Linked DNA regions of Medicago truncatula. The protein of the gene in region 3 interacts with the protein of the main gene of each other region in a biochemical or structural test. Links are inferred from orthologs where the notes say so. Each region holds a gene or a part of one and is shown on either strand. Other genes may lie near its edges. The genes, in order: serine/threonine-protein kinase CTR1, ethylene-insensitive protein 2 and ethylene receptor.

Region 1 (8,265 bases), on a different chromosome or scaffold from region 3:
ATTTAACTTCTTCGTAAACACTTATAAACTTATAGGGATTTTTCTATAAGTGAAGCCACAATCTTATTTGAAAGTAACTTGCTTATGGAAGAAGTTTTTATCACTCGTTAAAAAGTTGGGGGAGAAAAAAAGGAACTGGGAGGCCTGGATCTCAAATTCTTGATAAATGCAACAATATGCTCCAAGTAGATCCTTCTAGAGACCAGAAGCCAAGATTTAGAATAGCACAAATTTAACCAAAATATCTGAATATTACCTGCTGAACTGTTGTCGAAGAAAAGCTCAAGAGACAGACAGTCTGAGAAATACTGTTTGGCTAGTGACCTGAAATCAATTGTAGTTTCAGCTGGCTTAAGTCTTGGAAAGCGCAAGGGTGAACAAAATGAGATGGAAGATGGACCATTGAGCAAGGAATCAGGCTCGGATAAGTGTCCTGGCTTCCCAATTAAATCAACAAGATATTCCCTGACATTAGATTATGTAAGAGGTGAGGTGACAGGAATATTACTCTAATGAAAATCTATTTAAAATGTCAATGTCGATATACATTATGTTAACCATTGATCTCCAGTCCTTTTAAAATTTTCCATTCCATGATCGTTATATATAGCTAATGAAATTGCAGATAAACTTATAAACAGAAAGGTATGTATGCTTGGAAAATAAAGCGTATACCTGTCAAGCCCAAATCGAACAAGACAAGAAGAAGCGTCATCTCTTTTACAATATTTACAGCCCTTTGCAATTCGACATGGTAAATCAATAGCATCAGCTAGCACCTAAAATAATAAATATATAACAAGTTATTCAGAATTGCTTAAATACAATCCACCTCCGGTGAACAAAAACTCGTCAACATAGTCAGCATGTGTAATCACAACCTTAAACCCCGACAGAGAAGTGGAGCCTTACTTTGAATAATATGGCGCGATGCCTGCAGAGACCAACAGATAGACTACCTATGGGAAAAACAACAGATCCTAAGCAATCTTTCAGATTATTGCTGCAATCCCTCCAAAAAGATAGAAACTCATCCTCCCCAGCAGAAGCTGAACCCCTTGTTATAGCAATAAAACACAGTTAGACTGACATGACCGGATAAAAAGCTAAATAGGTCGGGCCATGAATGCCAAGAAGGCTCACCCCATACAGTTGCAAACCAGCTTGGAAAGCTGATCCACAACCTCTGTTGTTGTTATGCTGCTACAAGAGATGTTATGAACCATGTTTTGCAGTTCTCTCAAGCTGGCATCACTGCGCCGATCCACCAAAACTACATCAAGGGAAGAATCAATGCGGGGATGTACAGACTTTAGAGTATCAACTGATGGGATTCGGCTGTTTTCCTGCAGATCAGTGCACACAGTCCATACATAGGAATCCATCCCATGAATCAGATAAAAGCCATCAGGAATTTTGTCGGAGTATGATAGGCAGCCATTCACCTGGTGTACATTATAAATAAGATACAAAATCAACTTTCACATATCTAACAATAAGAGCATCAAGTCTATCAAGATGAAACAAGTTACAGTTTCCACCCTCAAATTTCAGTGGTCGGGTAAAACAAAGAGAGGAGGTCTAGTTTTTCACTCAATAAATGATGATTATACGCAACGCACGTTCTACTCAAAGCAACATTGTTAAAATATTAATTAGCATTTTCAAGATGTGTCGGTTTGACTCCACAAACATCATATTTTCCAATGTTGATTTTTTATGCAGTGTAAAAATAAGATACACATTTATTTAGAGATAAAAAAAAAAAAAAAAAGTCAATTCAAGAATGAGAAATATGATCATAGCATTTAAGTCAGACAGTAATAGAATACTGAAAACCATTCTTTCCAGAACTCCCAGCAAAGTGCCAATCAAATGTGAAAACTGAGACTGCATGAGATAGTTTCCTCAATCAATGTGATAGCTAGTGACAAATGGTTTTCCCAATGAACTAGCACCAAAAAAATATTGAAAAATAGAACCCTAATATCCAGAAAACTCCTATTAGACTTCAACACTGTAATTCAAAATTCAACTCTATACCATATAACAAACAAAACACAACTTCTTAAGAAGATTTTATACTAAACCAAATCCCATCCATTCAAGTCAACTGCATCCTAAATGAACTACAGAAACTTTGTCCTCCAAATTTGTCGCCGTCAACCGAAAATTCGGTCATCCCGTTGACACATAACAGAGAAGCCGACAAACCTATATAAATTCAGCCCTATATAAATTCAGCATATACGACGCTACACAGCATTGCCTTAATTTGGCTTATATACACAAGTAACCACAGTACACCCATAGTCAAAATATATCCATAGTCATTCACACACCTTGTCCTTATTTTCATTAGTTATCACAATTCACAATCCTCTATAGCACTGACAACTCTGATGAAAGGCATGTCCGGTGTCCGACACCACCATGACACTGATGCGTGTAATTACATTCAATTAATTCATTTTCTCAGATTATTACCGTGTCTGTGTGTGTCAATGCTTCGTAGTCACATTCACAGTCAAAGCCATTACCAGAATCAAAAATCACAATTCAAAGCAACACAATCAAGGTACAACAAACAACATACCCAAAATCGATGCGAAACAGCCTCAGCCGATGCCGAAAGCCTCGAAGCCGCGTCATCTGGCACCGGATCCAGAAAATTCGGATCATCAGCACAAGTAGCATCCGACGATAACCTCAAAGCCAGCGCAAGCTGCAACTGATAACTCTCCTCCGTCTGCTGCGCCCAGCTCTTACCAGACGATCCCCCGTTCCACGCCGCACTTTCCGCCAACTTCCCCCTCACCTCACCAACCTCATGCAAATAACCAAACGCATCAACCTCACTAGCCGCCACCGCCGACAGATTCTGCGCATAATAATCACCGCCGCTGGCTAACGAACTTTCGCCGTAACTACTTCCACTCGACTGCCGCTGTAATCCGATCGATGAATACAAATTCAAATTCCCGATCCGATTGTTCCCTTGCCGATGATCGCCGACTAACTCCCAACCGCCTCTACTAGCTTTTCCGTCGCTCGACGACGACGGTGCCGGAGCACTAGCGCTGGCGGCGTAGGAGAATTGATCGTCGGGAACTTGACTTAGAATCGAGTAATTAGATCTTCTAGCAGGCATTTCCATTGAAATCAATCACCGTTTTGGTTTAGTTATAAAACCCTAAAAATCTTCATTGTTGTTCTTCGTTGAAGTTTCTGTTACGTTATTCTTCGTTTTCCTTTTTCTCTTTCTAGAATCTGGTAACTGTTAAGTGTGAATGGTGGAATGAATGAAATTTCTCTCTCTGAGTTCCGGGGAGAGAGAAATCAAAGTGACGAAGTTTTTTCTTTGTTTAATTCGGTGGCGCTATCGTAAATTAAATTATTTTCAAAAGTTTTGGTATTTCTTTTCCAAAAATGTTTCATACATATCACTCAATTTTGTCTACAATTTCGAGTTTTTTTTATTGTGTATTTTTCTCAACAATTTTGAGTTTTTTTAATTGTGGAACTTCGAGTTCATATTAATCATAAGGCTAAAGTATGGATTTTCCTGCAAATATGTTTCGTTTTGGTTTTAATCTCTATAAATTTTTTTTGTTGTTTTTGGTCCTGCAAATATGTCTCGTTTTGGTTTTGATCTCTGACTCCACTTTTGTGATGATTTACGCACGTGACACATGATGATTGAACCCATATTTAGAAAAATAGTCCCCGCAAAATATTTTGATTTTTAAAAAGGTCCTTGCAAAATATTTTGTTTTTGAAAATAGTCACAACAAAAAAAATTTACAGAGACTAAAACAAAAACGAAGCATATTTGCAGGACCAAAACCATATTTTAGCCTAATCATAATCGAAGTTGTGATTTGGTTAAATATATATCTTTTTTAAGTAGTTTGTTTGTTAAGAATTAATCTCTTGAGATAAATAAGTGGAATATATGAAATTTGAACCTCCCCTTTGCATATATTATGAAAAATCAAAGTCACTTAGATAAACTCACGAGAATGGTATATGTTTAATTTCGATCATGATAGAATTCGTAAAATTTTAGTTAATTATGTAATTGAACTAACCACAATTCTAATTATAAATTAATTTACTTAACAAAGTTAATCATATTTTTCAACATGATTAATCGGTATCTTTTTTTTATCAAGTAGTCAAAATGGTTGAAATTTCACTCTCGAGAATGAAGAATTCAAAGTGTGAATATTGATCGTGTGTATTGTGATTTCCTTGTCAATTGATTTACAATAACATAAATAAATTGATCTTTACATCTTTCGGTCACTATTATAAAACCATTTTTTAAATTCATTAAATAAATAATATATTTGATCTAAATATTTACTAAAATGTGTTTCAAAAAAGTAGGAGAAGATTTTTATTTATAGTAATAATCGGAATATATGTCTGTGTAAAAAAATGATGTTCGATTGTAATTTATTATTGGGTCTTGTTAATGAGTGTCTCTGAAATACTCTTTAAACATACTAAATAAAGTAATTATTCTTTTAAAATTAAAAAGTTTTTAATTTCCAATACACTCATTACACAAACTTTTATAAAAGTTACTATCTAAAGTTCAAGGGCATTGGTTAGTTAACATTTCCCTTTATTATTTTCGGTGGGCAAAGCGGTATTTGGTTCACACGTTGGCCGGTTCAATTCACCTGGTGGTATTTTTTTAATAATATAAAAATATGACTTTTTGTTTTTGGATGATAATAGTAGAAAAAAATAATTACAAATTTTTTAATATGCAAGTTGGATTGAATTGATTAAGAATAGAAATGAATGATTTAAAAATAAGAATCTAATTACAAGTTGGATTTTTCTAATTTGTACTTGACCAGCCTTACTTTAATGTATGTTGTCATAACAACTTTGCAGTGAGTTCAGATTACACACGCCTTTAAACAGATATGGATATAGTTGTGGGCGAAGTTGAATTTAGCATATTTTTATTTCAGCTTTCGCATGTGACCCTTCTTGTACGGGTAAAAATAGAACATGAACTTTAGTTTGGTTTGGTGGCTGCTAGTGATGGTGATATACGGCCAGGTTCATAGCGGTTTGGATTTCGTGATGAAATTCCTTCGATGAAGAAAAAAAAAATGTTAATTTATGTTGTTATGACATATGTTAAAAATTATATTGATAAAAATTATGTATTGAAAATTGTGTTAATTTATTGTTCGAAAGGTTTAATATTAATTTTTCCAAGAAATTCTTACCATTATTGGAGTGTTTAACATGTGTCTTAAGGACACAAGTTAACATAACCTAAACAATATAGATGTTTTGGTTATTGTGTGTGGATAATTTGGAATGAACGAAATAATAGAATATTTAAGAATATCCAAACTAATATTATAGGTCTTCTGGAAAAGGTTAAGCAGGATTTCTTTTTGTGGCTTAAAGCTAACAATGTCACGTTTGTTTATGGCACGATTAGATGGTGGTCAGACCCGTTACTTTGTTTGGGTATCGACTAACCTGTTTATTGTAATTATACTGTGATTGTTTGCCCTTTGGGGTTGCTTCTTTAGTACACCTTGTGCTAAATAAGAATCATCGCCGTTGTTAATATATTCCATTTTTTATTCTTAAGAAAAAGAAGAAAAAAAAACAGAACCCAAAAAAGCATCCATAAAGAAGACACTCATTTTTTGGTACTTAAATGGATCTCATGTGTAGATATCACTCATTTATAAAAAAAAAAATTAAGGGTCTTGCTAACCATTGTCCTAAGGGCAATGGTTAAAAATCTCATTAATAGAAACTTTCTCTTGAAAATACAAATCTTTACTTTTTTCTTATCAATCATTACATCACTTTTCGATGCAAACTTACTTATTTAAGTACTTTAACCAATGTCACAATGACAATGGTTAACATTCTCCTTTTTTTAATAGTAATGCCTAATAAGTAGTCAATCTTTTCAACCCATATCTTGTTGGAACAAAATGTGTTTAACATTACCCTTTGAGAGTTTTGATGATAACAAGGTATTAAAAATTGTCAATTGGATATGCTAATATTTGTTCAAGTGTGCAGGACCATATGCAAGGTTAAATATTTTTGTAGGTTCTGGAAGAACAAATTAAGAGCTATGGAATCAACATAAGGGAAGCTTGAAGCGTATGAAGAAAAGTGCTCCTGAAGTCAAGTGCTCATGAAGTGATGACATCATCAGAAGCAAGTTCATCAGAAACTGAAGATCACCAGAAGCTAAAGTTCATCAGAAGATGGGAGACTTAAAGCTTCAAAGGCTGTTATATGGATTCAATCTCGTTTGAGCATTGCAGAAGACCAGGAGAGTGAAGCAACAATTAATTCAAATGAAGTTGAAGGCATTGGATTCTTGCTTTTTGAAGAGTGATGACAAAGTACAATTGTACGAAGTGTACAACCACTACCTCCACTACTTAGTATGTGTCTCTGCTACAAGACAAGAATAACAGCTATGCCTGCAACAATGTTCCTTCATACTTGGAATGGATTTGAAATTGATCATTCATAGGACAATAACCATATCCGGCAAAAGATCATTGGTGATTGATCAAAGCTTCAAACGACTATATTTTGATGTGCTGGAAATTCACAACGTCTTTTTCACACCTCTATATAAAGGAGTGAAGACTTAGAGAATGGCAAGGACTAAACAACAATTTACAAGTGCCAAAACTCTGCTGAAATTGTTCTCCATCAAAAGTTCACTCAGAATTTCTTATCAAAGTTCATATCTTAGAAATTATAGAGTCTTAAGAGTCTGTATCTGATTTGTACTGTGAACACCATTGATTGTATATCAAGTGTTCAACCTCAAACAATTTTCTTTGTAATTCTGTTTGAATAGAAGTCTCTTGCAGTTGTGCTTGAGCATAAGAAGTCTCTTGATTGTGCTAAGGAGCATAGAAAATCTCTTGTAAGTTGTGCTTAAGTAGTTTGAAGTCTCTTGCTAGTTTTAGCAGTGAGCAGTTGTGATCAGATATTACATTTTAGTGAACTCTCCTTGGAAGTGCAAGGGGGACAGGACTGACTTCCGGTTTGTGGAAGGAACCTGTATAATTGCTTTGTATCTTTCTTCTCTTTCTCTCTGTTTTATCCGCTGCAATCTAGTTCTGAACATCACTTCAGAAGTAGAACATTGTTCAGAGTCTAATGCAGCGAATAATGTATAGATAGAGAGAAATAAGATAAAGACACAAGCAATTATACAAGTTCCTTCCACAATCTGGAAGTAGTTCTGTCCCTCTTGCACTTCCAAAGAGAGTTCACGAAAATCAATATTTGATTACAAATGCTCAAACACACAAGCAAGAGACTTCAAATACTCAAGCGCACATGCAAGAGATTTTCTATGCTCAAGCACAAAAGCAAGAGACTTATAAACAAACAAAATTACATATAAAGATGTTTGGTTTGAACACTTGATATACAATCAGTGGTGTTCACAATACAAATCAGATAAGACTCTTATTAAGACTCTAGAATTTATAAGATATAAAAGTTTATAGAAATTCTAAGTTTTGATGCACAAAAATTTCAGCAGAGTTTTGATACTATCAAAACATTGTAGAGTCTTCACTTCTTTATATATAGAGGTGTGAAAGAGACGTTGAGAGGATGTTAGCACATAAAAGAGTCGTTACCGAAGCTTGATCAAATCACCAATGATTTGTTGCTTGATTTGGTTAATGTCATAGGAAGGAATAATTTGAAATTCATTCCTTGTTTGGAGAATTAACCAGTGTAGGCACAACTGTAGCAATACTATGTGCAGACATGATAGTGGAATAGTGGAGTAATGGTTGTACAAATGTAGTATTATCCTTTTTCTGCGCTCTTCAGTGGATAAGCATACAATGTCTTCTAATTTCTCTGAAATAGCCATCGTTCCAGGCTTCTGTTCCTTCTGCAAACTTGTGTCTTCCAATAACCAACTTTAACTAACTCCAGCTTCTTGACTTCAAACTCTGATGAACTTCAGACTCTGATGACGTCAGACTCTGGCAATTAACTTCTGATGAATCTTCAGACTCAGACTTGCAACATAAGCTTAATATATATACTTAGTTTTGTGATGCATACTCATCTTTCTATGGAGGATGAATATGCATGAAACATGAGTGACATTTATGGTGGGACTGATGAAAACATTAAATCTTCCCCATCTCTAAGACAATTTACATAACCAGTACGCATATGCTCTATATTATTTCTCGAGCCATTTAAGTCTGT
Region 2 (8,880 bases), on a different chromosome or scaffold from region 3:
TTTAAGAAAGAAATGATATGATACATGTAATGTGATAAAATGACATAGAGAGAATTAATGTATTTAACATGTGTTTGAAAAACAATTTTATTTTTTAGCATTCGGGTTTCAAACCTCAGATTTTATATATATTATGCATTTTTCTTATCTATTGAACTAAGTTTATAGGGACTAATATGATATCATTGCTGTAATTTAAATCTTTACCGTTAGTTTTAATTATTTTTTAAGCAACTTTTAGTTTTAGTTAACAATACTTTTATTTTGTAAATAAATTAAATTACTTGGATTATAATTTTTTTTTGTTTTTTTTCCGTTCAAAACAACAAGAAAGTAAAAGTAAAAGAATATCACTTTCGATTCTTTCATGAAATAAGGTAGTAGTACAGGTGGCATTTAGGATGGATCAAAGCAATACTTTTTTACCATGGGAAACTCACATTTTTTTGACAGGTGGCTGTTTCACTTTGTTTAACAGGTTAGAATAAAAAATAATGATAAATTATTTAACTTATTTTAATGAGCTAGTTTTACACCTCCCAGCTGCCAAATGTTTTTGTTCTACACCCCTGTTTATTTGAGCGTGTATTTGACCCTTATGTCCTTTATCTTTTTTTCTTTTTTTTTTTTTGTTCCGAAATACCCATTTCTCTGGAATATAGATCTGCCACTTTTCTTTCACATTAATGTCTCACACAATCATCTTCTAGATCCTGGTATCATCTAACACAAACCAGTATCAAAATGTGTTGTTATCTTATTTCCTAAGTTCTATTATCTCCTCGCCATTTTTCTTCTGATAGATCCATAAATTCCTTCCTCTCTTACAACCTTTTTGGCCTTTCTCTTCTCTCACCAACACATAAATGGCATCTTCTTCTATGGGTTACTTATAAATGTTGATTCCGTTTTATGGTAGATGTGTAATTCACGTGTTTTTATTTTGAAGATACCACCAAGAGAGTGCTTGCTCCAATCTTCAGTTGTATTGTGCTTGATTATAAGAGGAGGATGATGTCGTTAAAGTCCTTGTGGTGGCACTCAAAAGTTTAATGGTTGTTTTGCTTTGGTAGTTTGAACATAATCTTCTTGCAATTTAGGTGTTCTTGGTTTGATGGAAAGATGTAGTTTGGCCTTTTTCAAAAACAAAATTGTCGTTTTTTTTCTTCTTCAATTTTGGATTTATAACATGAGTTCATCCTGGGTTCAATGCTACCTTGTTGTGCTCATTGTTATATTTATCTTCTGGGTTCATTTTCAAATTCATTTTAAAAAATAAATACAAATACAATAAAGGATTTTTTTTAAACAAATAATATAGACTGTCAGTTCAAAATATATCAATGGCAGAATAAATAACATTGGTAAAACTTTACCAAAAAATAATTGGTAAAATAAAATACACGCAACTCTTTCTTTCATGAAGGAAGTAACACAACTTAAAAACAAAATTATAGCTGTAAAAGAAATCGCTCAAAGAGCTTAATCATTTTATTTTAAGTAGCCTTGTAATTAACGAAAAATTTACTTTCATAACCCATTCTTAGCAAGAAAACTAGAAGCCCATATAGCAGCATTATAATAAAAAATATTACTTGTGGGGTCATCATTTTTGTTACAGGTCTGTTACAAAAAGTTGCTAATAGGTTGTAAGGAAAAAGTCTGATTGAATCTGAACCATTCAGTTAAAATAATAATATATCAATGATTAAAAATGGTACTATCTCATAATGGGAAAGTATTCTCCCTGTCCATCCTAAATGCCACCAGTAGTACATTGTAAACCATAGAACATATCACCACTTTATTCTTTCTTGATTCCCATATAGTTGATTTCTACCAAATTCTTCTCATTAATCAATATCACAAATTCCCAATATTACATGCACACAAAAAAAGTTAATTATTTGCTAAGCTTTCAAATATGGTAAAAAGTAAGCCTATGTATTCCCATTCCTAGCTAACTACACGACCACTTGCAATGTTTTTGATTATTGGTCCTTGAATTGAAATTTTTCCTTCAAGCATCATGTATGACTAGTTTTCACTTTTTCCATTCATAGAAAACCACATCTTGCAATGATGTCCAGTAATTAATTGATGGGACTTACCATACAACTTTTTTTTAAAAAAAGTTGTATAAATAATCATCATATCATGTTTACTAGATGAAACAGAAATTAATGTTGAGTGTAGAATATATATGAGCTGTGTTATTTAAACATCCTTATATGTGACAATCAAAATTTTATAAAGAAAATGAGGTAGTAACACAAAAATCAAAATAATAGAGAGAGAAAGTAAAAAGATAATGTGAGTATGAGGGAGAAAATTATCAAAAAAATTATAAAAAATAGTTATTCAAATATCATTTCTCAATATATACGGAAAGTGTGAGCATATACAACCTACTCCCGAGTTAAATTTAAAGTGATGATAGAATCATGTTCTTAGACTCTTGTAACAAGTTAATAAAGTTGAGATTAGGTAGAGAAAGTTGTGATTAAATCAAGTTTTTAATCTACTTTGTTATACTTTTTTTCATTCAAAACAATACTTTTAGTTTTTAAATATTTCAAGGTTTGTATGTTTAATTTTTTGAAATTTTGTAAACTGAAACAAGTTTTTGTCGTGGCACATTTAATATGGTTTTTATATGTGTTTAGTCCTTATAAATAGAGGTTATTTAAAAATTGATCATTGAATTCGTTAATCCTGCATTTTACACTGTCAAAATTTAATCATTTAAAATTCCATCTCTCTTCCAACTTAATCAGTAAACATCTAACGTGGCTCCATGACTCATCAAAGTATGGCCTAAAGTGACAAAAATACCCCTCCTACTATCAGAGCGAAGCGAAATGAAGAAACTACCCCTCATCACAACAATTTCTTATATCACCAAAACCAAATCAAATCAGAAAGAAAAGAAAAAAAAATCTTAGCTCACTCATATTGTAATTCATCTCTTAATCCTCTTTTTCCTCAATTTTTTTGTCTTGATTGAAACATCATTTGTCAGTCCTGACCACCAACAACATGAACATGAAGAATCCAACAAAACCAGGAAGCATAAGAATGAATAGAAATTCATGATACCTAATAGAAATCCAACAAAACCAGGAAGCATAAAAACAAATTTTTTTTGAATAAGTTTTTCTATGAGGTACTAGTAAGCAACCAAACTTCACGGCACTTAAAAATTCTCTTTTTTATAATGTTCTAAACATGATTATAAAAAATAATTTAACATATAAAAGCATATACATAAATTGACTTAAAAATAATGACCGAAATATTTAAAGTATTATTGTTTGAAGAAAACAATTAGAGGAACTAAAAACAAAATACGATATATTTATAGAATTTAAAAACTTATCTCACCTTATAAAAAAGTACAGCAATCTTGCTTCTTTGGTCTCCATGCGAGCAGTACCAACCAGCTATTAAGAAACACCCTATCCGTTGTGTTGACCCATTTGCTCCATCCTTCTTTGCAAACCAGAAAAGTACTCTACCAAATACTAGTACATGATATCGTAATTAGGAAGAATTATAGGTAATAAATAAAATCACAACTACATTGCTATTTATTATTATCAGACATTTCATAATCACAACTTCATTGCTATTTATTACTTGCAGACATTCATAGATTTGCTTGATAGTACAACTTGGTAAATACTCCAGCAAGGTTCTTATAAAAAAAAACTTGGTAAGGGCTGCCAACATGATATCTTTTCTTTCCCTAAATTAATAATATCTAAAATAAATCATACTTATTTTAAAAGATAGCTTTTTAAAACACAGAGAAAACTAGGATTAAGATTCTCTCAAATGGAAAAAAAACCTTGAAGAAATAATGTGGAAATATATAGCAATGAAATATAAAAGGGTAGTAAGATTTGAATTTGAAAAAGAAAGGAGAAAAGTCATTTCAGAGTTGAGATATGAAAATTGAGAAAACATAATTTATCGGATTGTAAAATTTATTTTTACAATCTAAAATAAATCAGACCAAATTTATGGTTCACATTTGAGATAAATTTTGCACTATGCAAAAGCTTATATTCTCTTGAATCAACAAATCTCTTTGTTAAATCAAATATGATATGATTTATTGATTAAATGCTGAAAAATAAAGTTGTGTACGGTGTAAAACTAATTTAGGGGTGCACATTAGATAAAGCCAATGAATCATACTTATTTTAAAAGATAACATTTTAAAAACGGTTTGATAAAACGACTTTAAATTAAAATAAAAAACTTGAAAAATATACACATTGTCGGGACAAGTTGGTTTTATATTAAATGAGAAATATAAGCACTAGCATTCAAAATATATAAACTGTCTATGTGTATCTCTATTAAACTAAACAAATTACACAGAAAAAAGAATAAACAATTATTTTGATACTTAAATGTATGAGGCAATGCCATTTTAAGCTTCAAATATATCAAAGTATAATCTCGTAAACATATCTGAGTTAAATGTTATTATTATTAAGATTAGAAATCTCTTAAATTCTTCTGATAACTTTGAGTTTAAGTCTACCCAACAACAAATAAATATGGTTGTCCTTATTCTTGTTAAGGCAACCATTTTCCATAATAGTCGTTATGCTTATGGTCCTTCTTATAACCAACTTTATTTAATAAATGAGTTCAATTTTGGTCGTTAAAAGAAAAAAGTCATTGCACTGAGTATAAGCACCAAAATGCATGTTTACCCCAAGACAAAGACACCAATGACTTGGCCAAAAATGAAAGTTTAAAGTGGATTTCTTTCATCGATTATAATTCACATCAATATCATCAAATTATATATATATGTAATATAAATTTGACGTATTGAGAAGACTTCGATGTAAATTTTAACCAATCAAATAAAATGCGATAGAAAATAGTATAAAGAAAAAGGATATCTGTCTTTATTCAAGCTTTCTACCCTCCTTTTAGCACTTGAACATGAACACACACATGTACATATTACACTTTCACTTTCTCTCTCTTCTTCTTAAAACCCCAACCCATACAGAATATTTTCATTATTTATATAACTCCCTTCATCCTTATGCTCTCTCTCTCTCTCTCTCTCTCTCTCTCTCTTTTTTGATAGTACAACACATAAAATAATATTAAACTATAGTATCATCAATCAATTATCAAAAACTCTTAAAAATCATTATCATACCCCATAGTTCCATCAAAGTTTTATTGTTCTAAGATCTACTTCGCAGAAACAAGAGATTATAGTAGCAGAAGAAATCACAGAACCCTAATTCTACGGTAATCAAATTCATAATCAACCTTGGAATTTGTGCAAATGTTCTTCACCACCTGCATCAGATCCACGCTTTCATTTTTCATTGCTTGTTATTGTTATTGTTTCACTGTGTAGGGTTAAGGGTTTTACTTTTGTTTACTCAATTATCTTTCGCCACTTGTCTTAATTTTTCAATTTTCAACACTTTTTTTTTATCTACTGTAAGATATTTTCTTTGGCTCTGATTCTCATGTTTTTTTATTTTTTATAAAGTCGGTTTATTTTTTATTTCATTATTAAGATTTGTTGTTTTCTTTTTGCTTACACTTGCTTCGGTTAAACTCAAAAAGTATAAGTTATTTTTTTTTTGATTTCATAAATTCATAGCATTAATTGTTGTAATCTAATTGGGATAATTATAACTATTGATTCTTTAATGCTGATAGTATTAATCTGTTTTGATACTGATGTTGTCATATTCATCAATTTGATTGATTGCAGGATTTCAAAATTGATTGGTTTTTCCAAAAGATCGTTACTTGGACTATAATTGAGGATCATCATAGCTCTGTGAAAAGGGTTGATATCAATTTTGATTGAAACTGTTAATTGGGGTGTTGTGAATTTTGTGTGATGGGACATAGGTTGACTTGATTGAAAATATCAGATTTGTATCGTATAATCATAGTTAACAGTTGATTTTGTTATTGGCTGGTGATAGGATGCTGGTATAGGGATATGCTTTGTGTGAAATTGTTTGCAAATCCTTTCGAGTTTTATAAGTTGACTTAATTATAGTTTCAATTGGAGCAGCTTATTTTTCAAAGATTGGCTTGTAATATATAGTCTTTCGATAGAAATATAGTTGAGATAGTTGTATAATTATTTATTGGTCATTGAAAGTTTTAGCTACTTCGAAGTGTTTGTTGTATTTTTCTGGGAGTTGTAATTGGGGCTGTATCATCGTGGAAAATGGAAACAGAGGCATTGAGTTCTGAACAGACGAAGAGTAAAATGGAGGCAGAGACATTGAGTACTAATCCCCCTCCTGGTTTTCTTATTCGCGCACTTCCGGCTGTTATACCCGCGCTTTTGATTTCGATAGGATATGTTGACCCTGGAAAGTGGGTGGCAAGTATAGAAGGTGGTGCGAGGTTTGGTTTTGATCTGGTGGCTTTTGCGCTAATTTTCAATTTTGCCGCTATCTTCTGTCAGTACTTATCCGCAAGGGTTGGTGTAATCACTGGACGAGATCTTGCTCAGGTATCATGTCATTCACTTTAGGGTTGATAAATTACACCGATCATGTAGTAAGATTGTTATGTTTGAAAAGCTCTTGAACTCTGAACTGCTTTAACCCCTGTCCCCGAATAAAACCTATCTGTTTTATTTTCATCAATTTTTCGAGTTATATTATACTATTTAATGTAGCAACTTGCTATTGAGAAGAAGTCGTCACGTATCAGGAAGAAATGAACCTTAAAAATTATTTGTTGTTCATATTGATCTTCTGTCTGTGCATTTTGTTAATCTAATTGAGTTTTGACAGACTAAATTTGGAAGTTTATATGAAACTGGAAATTGCATTGTTACTTTGATATTTTTTTCTTTTCTTTTTCCATCTTAAAAGTATATCCTGTTCCTCCCCATGTTTCTTTCTCATGCTCCCAGTGTTTTTTTTTCTTACCCCGCTAACACTAGTTCAATTGTGGCGGTTGTGAATTGTGAGCCAGATTGAGTGGTTTTCTCTTCAATTTGCTTATTTAATTGTTATTGAGCCTATTGCGGGTTTTTGTCTTTTCTCTATTTCTTCTTCAATCTCATGTAGAAAATATGATGTTTACATGAGCAAGCTCAGATAGAATTTGATAAATGCACTTGGTTTGTATGCTTTGTTTATATACTAATTTCTCATTTTTTAACTAAAGATTTGCAGTGATGAATATGATACATGGACATGCCTTCTCCTTGGAATTCAAGCAGAACTGTCCGTGATTATGCTAGATCTTAACATGGTAATTCTCTTGCTCTTGATTAACGTTAAATATCCTGTGAATTTGATTTACACATGGTCATCTGCTATTTTTCAAATTTGTTTTGACTTGAAACTGTGGTTTAAACTGTTTTGCAAGATCTTGGGCATGGCACAAGGATTAAATCTTATTTTTGGGTGGGACTTGTTCACCTGTGTCTTTTTAACTGCCACTGGTGCTGTTTTTCATATTCTTCTTGCTATCCTCTTGGTAAGTATCACTCTTCACTTATTCACCATACCTTGTTGATCAACACTAGACTTATTATATTGCCTTTGCGTAGGACATTGAGAAGACAAAATTCCTAGGACAGTTTGTGGCAGGCTTTGTATTACTTTCTTTTATACTTGGAGTATTCATCCAATCCGAAGTTCCAGTTTCCATGAATGGAATACTAATAAATTTAAGCGGGGAGAGTACATTTATGCTGATGAGTCTTCTCGGAGCAACTCTTGTGCCTCACAACTTTTACCTTCATTCTTCTATTGTACAGGTATTCTTTCCTCTCATTCTCAATTTTCGTTCATGAAAATGTACTGAAATGTCCGTGTCTATGGCAAGCTTCCAAGAAAATATCTTTTATTTGTGTGTGGGTTTATTTGCACCTCATCTTCTGCTTGTTTGTAAAGATGAAACGTCTGACTGTTGTATAAATTACCAGATTTGCATGGGCGATTGCCTTACTGCTGGAGTTTTTTTTTTTTTTAATGAATATTTTGATCAAATCATTAGAGTCAGGTTAAAAGAGGTAGAGGAAGACCTAAGAAAACCATTCGAGAAACCATTAGAAAAGATTTAGAGGTCAATGAGTTGGATCCAAATATGGTTTTTGATAGAACACTATGGCGTCATTTGATCTATGTAGCCGACTCCACTTAGTGGGATAAGGCTTGGTTGTTGTTGTATTTTGATCAAATCGATAAGGATTGACTACTACTGGTCATTAGTTTTTTCTTTTTTCCAGAAAGCTAAACTTTGTAATCACTTATTATTCTAACTTGGTTTTATGTACTTGTTTCAAAAATCTTGTATAGTGAGTGGTTCTTTTGATTTTGTCTCGCTATAATTATATCACCAGATCCTCGTTTTGTCTAATAACATTTGAATATTATTTGTGCACTTGCATAATTGAATGGTCAAGACCAAAATAAAAGATGCTTAAAATTCTTTTTTTTTTTAGAAAGCCATACGATACAAGTAAATTATGGTACCCTTTTACTTCTCTCAAGTATGGTTTTAGTAATTGTGTGTTGTTGGTATTAATGGATGACTGGAAATTGGCTCGATGACAGGCATGAACCATGAACAATTCTAAAATGGAATTCCATGCAGAAGATAAAATTAGTATTATTTTAGATATTTTTGTTAGTGGAGATGTATCTTTCAATTGTAGGCTAGTATTTGTTTGAACTAGTACCTGTTGTTATCCAATAGTTATGACGGGTCTTCAATAAATATTTAATAGGATTTTTAGATTCATGCCTATCAATTCTCTTACTACCAGGATGTTCATCATTAGTGTCTTACATGAGGAAGATAGGAAATGACCTTAGAACATTGTAATGGTACATTTTAAATGGG
Region 3 (8,269 bases):
TAACATGTTGAAAACATAAACTAACCTTCTTTCTTAAAGGATAAAATTGTAAAAACAATAGTGATTACAAACAACTTTAATACAAATATTCACTATCTTAATTCCCGTGATTTTGGCAAAAGGGTCTTATATATAAGGACGGAGGGAGTATAAGTTATGGTTCAACGCTTTCTAGGTCCAATGCATCTAAAGATCCTTTAAGTTTTTTTCGTTATTTTTAAAGTGGTCCTTTAAGTTTCAAAAATCCCAAACAAGTTTTTAAGTTTCAAAAGTCTCAAACAAGTCCTTTTAGTTTTTGAATCGTTTTAAACAAGTCCTTTTAAAGGATGATGGTGATGATTCAGATGATAGCAACAAAGAGCATTATCTGCCATTTACCATGCCTAAAAAGATGACTAGTTTTAAGTGGGTGTTAGGAGCCAGATTTGGTACCAAATATGAGTTCAAGGAAGCAATTACCAACTATGCTATCTACAATACGACTTGTTTGAAACGATCCAAAAATTAAAAGGATTTGTTTGGGACTTTTGAAACTTAAAGGACCACTTTGACAAAAACGAAAAATTTAAAGGACCTTTAGATGCATTTGACATTCTTTTTAAAACAAAAAAAGACAAACAAACAAAAAAACAAAAACATCAAGGTATATTCTCTATATATATATTTTTTTAAAGAAGTTAAATTAGTCCATCTAAATTGACATTGAGGAGAATCAAACTTAATTTAGTAGGCAGACAGCTTCCCGAGGGGTATGGCTTTTCACAAAAATGCATCCTATCCCGTTAGTTGTTAATTATGCTACTTCCAACTGTTTGGAGATGGTTTCCAGCTTGATTCCCAACAGTTTGTTGATCGCAAGCATATTTTATTGAAATGTTTGATTAGCTTGTTGCATACTTATTCGGTTTATTATATCATCAGTTAGGGTTAATAATCATTTTGGACCATGTTTTCAATGAGTACCTTGATTTCTTCCACAGTTTTGATCTTCATTGTTCCTCCGGGTGATGCGTCCAACAACATGGATGTTGTTGGGTTTCAACCTAGTTGTGAAGAATTGTATCATGTCTGAACATTACTGGGTTTGCAGGTTAGAACCCAAGAGATACTTCATCCAAGTTTTCCAGCCTCCCATAGTCTCGTAAAGTGATAGGTGGATTCTCGTCTCTCATTTCTGACTCGTTAGATAAATATTCTTGAATTGGAATGATTTCAGTGTGATTGGTCCTTTCTCTAGCAATTTGAGGAACTTTCATAAGTTCTATTTTCAGTTTTTTTTATGTCGGGATCTAGTAGCATAATACTTGAACGGTATGAAACAAACTAAACAAAGTTTTTAGTATGGCTGAATCACGGTAAATATTTTTGTAATGAAAGGACAAAAATAAAATAACTAAAATAAAAACAAATATAAATAAGTACAACAAATTGCCTCATTGAAAATATAAACACTACCAGCGGCGGTGCCAAAAATTTCTTGAAAAATTTCAGCAACCGTATCAAATCCTTACCAAGTAATAAAGTGATAAGTGAGTGTCGTATCAACAGGGATTGTCGTTCTAACTAGCACTAGTGAAGTAGTAACCTGATTTTGATTGCAGAATGTTAGCAGCGGTTAGGATTCTTTGAATCCCTCTATTCATATGTTGGATTAAAGTAACATATAGTTATTCAGGGATTGGTTAAATGATTCACACTTAAGTGACGAGTTCAAGGGGGGGGGACACCCCTCCAACTGTTGAGTTGCACCGGATCCACACGTGGGTTAAGGTGCTAGAAGAAGAAGAAAAAATCAGCGAAAATTAATCACCGCTAATTAACAACCGTCAGTTAATTTCCGCGGCAGTTAAATGCAGATGTGGCAAATATAGATATGCCACTGCTTCCATCTGTAGGACATACTTTGGCACATAGGCCACACCCTTCCCTTACTAAAAGTGATGTAAACCTGAAATAACATTTGAGTGACACAAGAAGAAGCAATGACAGCTGTTTTTTATTTTAGATGTATCTTGCACTCTAATACAGGTTTCGCTAGCATTTTTTTTTTTTTGGTTACAATTCGCTAGTATATTTTCTTATAGTAGTTAAACATTTAAATATAAGAAATTTCTCTGAAAAATATAATTTTTAAACTTTTTAAGAAATTTTCATTTTTTTACTATTTAGATCTAATTCAACTTCTTTTTTTTATATATAATAAAAAATTAAATTATGGGAGACACACAAAGTGCAAGATGTGAATGATAAGTTCAACTATCGATGTCATGTAAGTTGTAATTGGTGATTTTATTCAACTTCTAACATTGAAAATTAGGGTAAAGTTGTTTGATTATGGTCAAATATAAATTTTTGGACGAATTTCAGTACAAATATATTATTGGGATCATTAAGTTTTTAGTTCCTATAAACATTCACAGTTTTGTTTTTAGTCCCTACAAAATAAAATCACACTTTTAAGTCCTTATAAAATTTTCCATCATCATTTTTAGTCCCTATAAATTTTTCCATCAGCACTTTTAGTCCATGTAAAAAATTTCTATCAGCAATTTTGGTCCCTAAAATGCTTAAGAAAAATGTCACAGGGTCTAAACAATGTGATTTTATTTTGTAGGGACTAAAAACAAAACTGTGAATAATTACAAGGACTAAAAATTTAATTGAACCTATATTATTTTGGATTAATCAATGTTGGTGAACACAATCATACTCCTGAAGTTTGGTTGAATATGAACTTCTCTTTATATTAGTTAATTTAAACTAAATTCAAATGTTAAATAAAATTTACCTACACGTACAGGTATCCAACCAATTTTCAAAGCATCTAAAAATTTACCAATAATGTTTTTAAAAACAGTAAAAAATTAACTCACTTTCAAAAAAAACCTGAAAATTTGTGCAATATAGCATCGACTCTCACATCTAATGTGAGCCATACATACAATTTTGACATTTGCAATTCTTAATTTGACTTTAATATCATATTAATGAGTTTGAATCTCATTCTAAAATGTAATTTAAATGATCAGAGCGCTCGAACACATTTATACATCTAACACTCAACTCTAATAAATTCAACTTATAAGATGATCATTGTCCCTACTTAAAAAACAATGTTGCCTAAATGTGTTTTTTCTTTGTCGTGTTATTGATAGTACATTGTTTACGGGTAAGAGAATCCCTCATTCTCCCATATAACATACTCCCTCCGTCCTAATTTATAAGCAAAAAACAGTAATTCACACTTATTAAGAAAACTAACATTTAGTGATTTGAGGTATAATTTTTTGTGTTCTCCTTGGAATAAGTTTCATGGAAAGATGTAAAAATAATTCTCATTGGTTAAAAATTATGGAAAAAATAAAAAGGAGAACCAATTGAATGCAATTTGCATTTAATTTTACATTGGAAAAGATGATTTGTTTGAAAAAACATAATAATAGCATAAAAATTAGTCTTTTTTCTTATATTTTGAGACAAAAAATATGAGATTTTTTTGCTTATATTTTAGGACGGAGGGAGTAGTTTGCTTCTAAAAATAAAATTATAAAAACATGTTCGAGTCATATCTCATGTCACTTTTAAATTAATAACCAAAAAAAGTAGAAAAGGGCGACGATCAAATATAAGAATAAAATTGAAATCCATTTAGGTTGATCCGGTTGTGTTGGCTTAGGACCTTGAAGCATGCTCCTCGTCAAGGTCAAATTCGATTATCCTCTATACCAATTTGGATGGATTAATTTAATTTTTTCAAAACAAAAAATTAAAAATTGGACCACACAGAGTTTGTTCGATTATGCTCAATTTACTATCTTCCATTTATTAAAACAAAAAATAACAAAAATCTTGGAGTAGCATTTATTCTAGACCAGGATTTGCTGATATAGAAAAACACACAGTTTGGTGCTGTAATAAATCCCAACCGTTGATATCATATCAGACGGTTCAGATTGATAATTCTAATACTAAGCCATAGATCATTAGACACAAATTATAGCATTTAGTATTAATAGAATAGATGTGTACCTGATTTAATTAGTTGGTGGTTGACCATTAAGATCCTGTTAAATAAGCCATTAGAGAAAGGTTAGGGTTGAGAGAGTCTTCTGCCTCCTTGTTGATGATACATTCTTAATGTTTTCAACGTGTCCCAATGGAATAGTTAGATTATATACTCATCAGTGGAGGTAGGGACCACTCATTCAGGTTGACTAATAAGAACGATTCAACCCATCATTTTAATACAGTTTTTGTCGGTTTTGATATGTTACAATCCGGCTATTCCAAGCTAATTTGACTATTTGAGACTTTATGTAACATTATCAGAAAGTACAGTACATACCTAGATAGATATGTTTAGTTTTGTGTCTCCGTCATATGCGGTAACGTCCCTTTTCGACCCACCCAAATGCATTGAACTTGACTACCACATGCATTACTTTACTATTTATTTATTAGTATAAAACTATATAATTTAATTCAATACTTTTATTATTTTATACAACTTGTTCCTGCAACACTATTCGTTTCTTTTCCTGTCTCTTCCTTCAGTTTTCTTCCATTATTCTCTTGCAGATTATATTCATTTCATTTCCATGTAAGTTTCAAGATCACTCTTACCTTTTTTTTATTTTTTTTTAATCTTTTTTTCTATTTTATTTCTAAATTTATTTCACTATTCCACCTCCTCCTTAATTTGTTAATTTTTTTATATTATTTTATTAATTAATTTATACCCATAATTATATTTGATTCATCTATTTTTTTTGCAAATTTGTTTTAATTTTTATGAAGCATGTAATTATAATTAGTAAAGGCTAGAGTATTAGGAAGCTAAATTACATATACTAATTTGGTTCATGAAAGTGTTTAATTTTTAATCTTAATTATTTTCTAAGGTTGGGCAGCTCAAATGTTTTTGATAGCTGTATGAAATTAAGGGTGTTATGATTTTGGGGGGGTTTAGTTAGCAATGGGATAATGCTGCTGGATTTTGAGATTTTGATAATCTGTTTGTTGTTAATAATAGACACTGTTTTGGTTTTATGAGAATTAATTAATAAAAAGGTAAGCTTTTATTTTTATGGTAGTTCTTTGTGGTAATTGGGTGCAGAGGAAGACCATATTTTGAAGATTGTTTGTTTCTTTGACTTTGCTTTCTATGTTCATTTGAGATGAGATGAGATTGTCTTTACTGGTTTTTTAGTTCTATGGTCATGATTGTTTCGAGGGAATTCGTATTGATAATTGCATTAGCCAAGTGGTTAATGAGCTTTAGTAAAGGTCAAATTGATCGGGATTATACGAGTTCCAACTCTAGGTGGAACAATTCTTGATCAGACGTTACTTACATCTTGGTCAAACTCCGGATTACCGGGGGCTATTATTATTGTTTTTTAAGATCCATTTCCTGTGACTGATGCTTAAATTTTACGTCTTTAATGTAGTTATGTGATTACGGCCGAATTGGCTGAGTGGTTCAATTCAATCATGATGGAATCCTGCAATTGTATTGAGCCACAATGGCCAGCAGATGATTTATTGATGAAATACCAATACATATCAGATTTCTTCATTGCCCTTGCTTATTTCTCGATCCCACTCGAGCTTATCTACTTTGTTAAGAAATCTGCAGTATTTCCATATAGATGGGTCCTTGTTCAGTTTGGTGCCTTCATAGTTCTATGTGGAGCAACACATCTAATAAATTTATGGACCTTCACAATTCATACAAGAACCGTAGCAATTGTAATGACCACCGCCAAGGTTTTAACCGCTGTGGTATCGTGTGCCACTGCCCTTATGCTTGTACATATTATTCCCGATCTATTAAGTGTTAAAACTAGAGAATTATTTTTGAAGAACAAGGCTGCAGAGCTCGATAGAGAAATGGGCTTGATTCGTACACAGGAAGAAACTGGTCGACATGTTAGGATGTTGACTCATGAGATTAGAAGCACTCTTGATAGACATACAATACTGAAAACGACTCTTGTTGAACTTGGTAGAACTCTTGGGTTAGAGGAATGTGCGTTATGGATGCCGACACGTACCGGTTTGGAGCTTCAACTTTCTTACACATTGCGACAGCAGAACCCTGTTGGATATACAGTACCTATTAATCTTCCTGTGATCAACCATGTATTTAGTAGCAACCGTGCAGTTAAAATTTCATCGAATTGCCCAGTTGCTAGATTACGACCTCATGCTGCAAAATACATGCCTGGAGCAGTAGTTGCTATTCGGGTTCCTCTCCTAAATCTTTCTAATTTTCAAATATATGATTGGCCTGAGGTTTCAACTAGAAGCTATGCTTTGATGGTTTTGATGCTTCCATCTGATAGTGCTAGACAGTGGCATGTACATGAGTTAGAGCTCGTCGAGGTAGTTGCTGATCAGGTTAGTAATTCGCCATTTTATTCAGTTTCCTTTGTCCCGTATTTCTTTACATGTTGTTTGCTTCACTTTTATTTGACGGAAATTCTTTTACATGGACCTGTTTTTACACCAGGTAGCTGTTGCTCTTTCTCATGCTGCAATCTTAGAAGAGTCGATGAGGGCAAGGGATCAACTTATGGAGCAGAATGTTGCACTTGATATGGCAAGAAGAGAAGCAGAAACTGCGATTCATGCTCGCAATGACTTTTTGGCTGTTATGAATCACGAGATGAGAACTCCGATGCATGCAATTATTGCACTCTCTTCATTGATGCAGGAAACAGATCTGACTGCTGAGCAACGTCTAATGGTGGAAACAATACTGAAAAGCAGCAATTTATTAGCTACACTCGTCAACGATGTTTTGGATCTTTCACGGCTTGAAGATGGCAGTTTTCAACTTGAAATATCAACATTTAACCTTCATTCATTGTTTAGAGAGGTAAAATTTTCGCATAAATCCCGAAAAATTCAACTATATTAGTCTGACTAGTAGCTTATGATCTTTGAGTTTCTTCAAAAGCTTGATGTTGTTAGATTTGTTACTCTGATTGCAGGTCCTTAACTTGATTAAACCTGTTGCATCTGTTAAAAAGCTGTCACTCACTTTACATTTCGCATCAGATTTGCCGGTGCATGCAATTGGTGATGAAAAGCGTCTCATGCAAATTCTTCTCAATGTTGTTGGTAATGCTGTTAAGTTCACAAAAGAAGGCAGCATTTCCATCACCGTGGTTGTTGTAAAGCCTGAATCCTTCCGAGATATTAGATTTCCTGATTTCCTACCAGTACCAAGTGATAGCCACTTTTATTTGCGAGTACAGGTTTGTTTCGTCAAGCTTGATTAATTTTCTTCTGTTTTGGTATATTGTATCCTCTTTTATCTGATTTCGAAGGTGGAATATATATTTTTTTCCACATTATAGGTAAAAGATTCAGGATCAGGAATCAATCCACAAGACATCCCAAAGTTATTCACTAAGTTTGCACAAAACCAAACATTAGGAACAAAAAATCCTGTTGGAAGTGGGCTTGGCCTTGCAATTTGTAAAAGGTATTATATTCTTCTATAGTTACTGATATGAACATATTAATTTGTTTTCTATTCCTTGGGCTATAGTATATTTACAAAATTAGAATTTGCTCTCTTCAATATTGGTATTTATGATTTTCTATTGATTGCGTACGGTATCTTTAAATTGTGAGCAGGTTTGTGAATCTCATGGAAGGGCATATTTGGATTGAAAGTGAAGGTATTGGTAAAGGATGTACAGTCACTTTTATTGTAAAACTTGGAATCGCGGACCGACCAAATGAATTTAAACTACCTTACAAACCTAAAGCTTCAGTAAATCATGGATCTACAAACATTTCTGGTCTCAAAGTTCTCGTCATGGATGATAATGGGTCAGTAACAATATTTTCAGTACCTTCATTTTAGAAATTTGATACTATGTCACCTATTAGTTATTTGAGTATTCTGGTGATTTTATAGAAAAGTAAACATAGGCTGATTTCTTATGCTAAGCCCCTACTTTGGTCCCAATTATGTGCTTGAAAGCATGATATTACAATGCTGGTGTTGCTTGTTATTAGTCCAATGTTAGGTAAGTCTATATACATCAAGGTGTAGCTGCTAAAACTTTTAATTTTCAATCCTTAAAAGCAATGTTTAACAACTGAACTGAACATTGAACCGACAAAACCTCTTAGCCATAGTTCAACTACTTTAAACCGCTCGAACCAGAACAAAACCATGTTCGAATCGCTCAAATTACCAAACCGTAGAGAATGCTGGCTCACAGTTTAACATGTCGAACCGTCCGGT

Evidence for each region.
Region 1: the proteins of ethylene receptor (region 3) and serine/threonine-protein kinase CTR1 form a complex in vitro, tested with the Arabidopsis thaliana proteins (2 studies listed by BioGRID). The link is inferred for Medicago truncatula from reciprocal best matches to the Arabidopsis thaliana genes ETR1 and CTR1.
Region 2: the proteins of ethylene receptor (region 3) and ethylene-insensitive protein 2 form a complex in vitro, tested with the Arabidopsis thaliana proteins (2 studies listed by BioGRID). The link is inferred for Medicago truncatula from reciprocal best matches to the Arabidopsis thaliana genes ETR1 and EIN2.

Annotation. Positions count from the first base shown.
Region 1 is NC_053042.1:30,651,903-30,660,167, forward strand, and holds the start of serine/threonine-protein kinase CTR1, read right to left. Parts: upstream 3,378-8,265; 5' UTR 3,158-3,377; coding exon 2,597-3,157; intron 1,446-2,596; coding exon 1,144-1,445; intron 1,058-1,143; coding exon 913-1,057; intron 780-912; coding exon 676-779; intron 466-675; coding exon 257-465; intron 1-256. UniProt on the Arabidopsis thaliana protein: Acts as a negative regulator in the ethylene response pathway. Phosphorylates the cytosolic C-terminal domain of EIN2, preventing the signaling in the absence of ethylene.
Region 2 is NC_053048.1:47,791,064-47,799,943, reverse strand, and holds the start of ethylene-insensitive protein 2, read left to right. Parts: upstream 1-5,059; 5' UTR 5,060-5,289; intron 5,290-5,767; 5' UTR 5,768-6,238; coding exon 6,239-6,529; intron 6,530-7,194; coding exon 7,195-7,281; intron 7,282-7,398; coding exon 7,399-7,509; intron 7,510-7,582; coding exon 7,583-7,792; intron 7,793-8,880. UniProt on the Arabidopsis thaliana protein: Central factor in signaling pathways regulated by ethylene (ET) and involved in various processes including development, plant defense, senescence, nucleotide sugar flux, and tropisms.
Region 3 is NC_053045.1:11,198,598-11,206,866, forward strand, and holds the start of ethylene receptor, read left to right. Parts: upstream 1-4,446; 5' UTR 4,447-4,600; intron 4,601-5,450; 5' UTR 5,451-5,493; coding exon 5,494-6,402; intron 6,403-6,514; coding exon 6,515-6,883; intron 6,884-6,998; coding exon 6,999-7,265; intron 7,266-7,367; coding exon 7,368-7,495; intron 7,496-7,650; coding exon 7,651-7,848; intron 7,849-8,269. UniProt on the Arabidopsis thaliana protein: Ethylene receptor related to bacterial two-component regulators. Acts as a redundant negative regulator of ethylene signaling.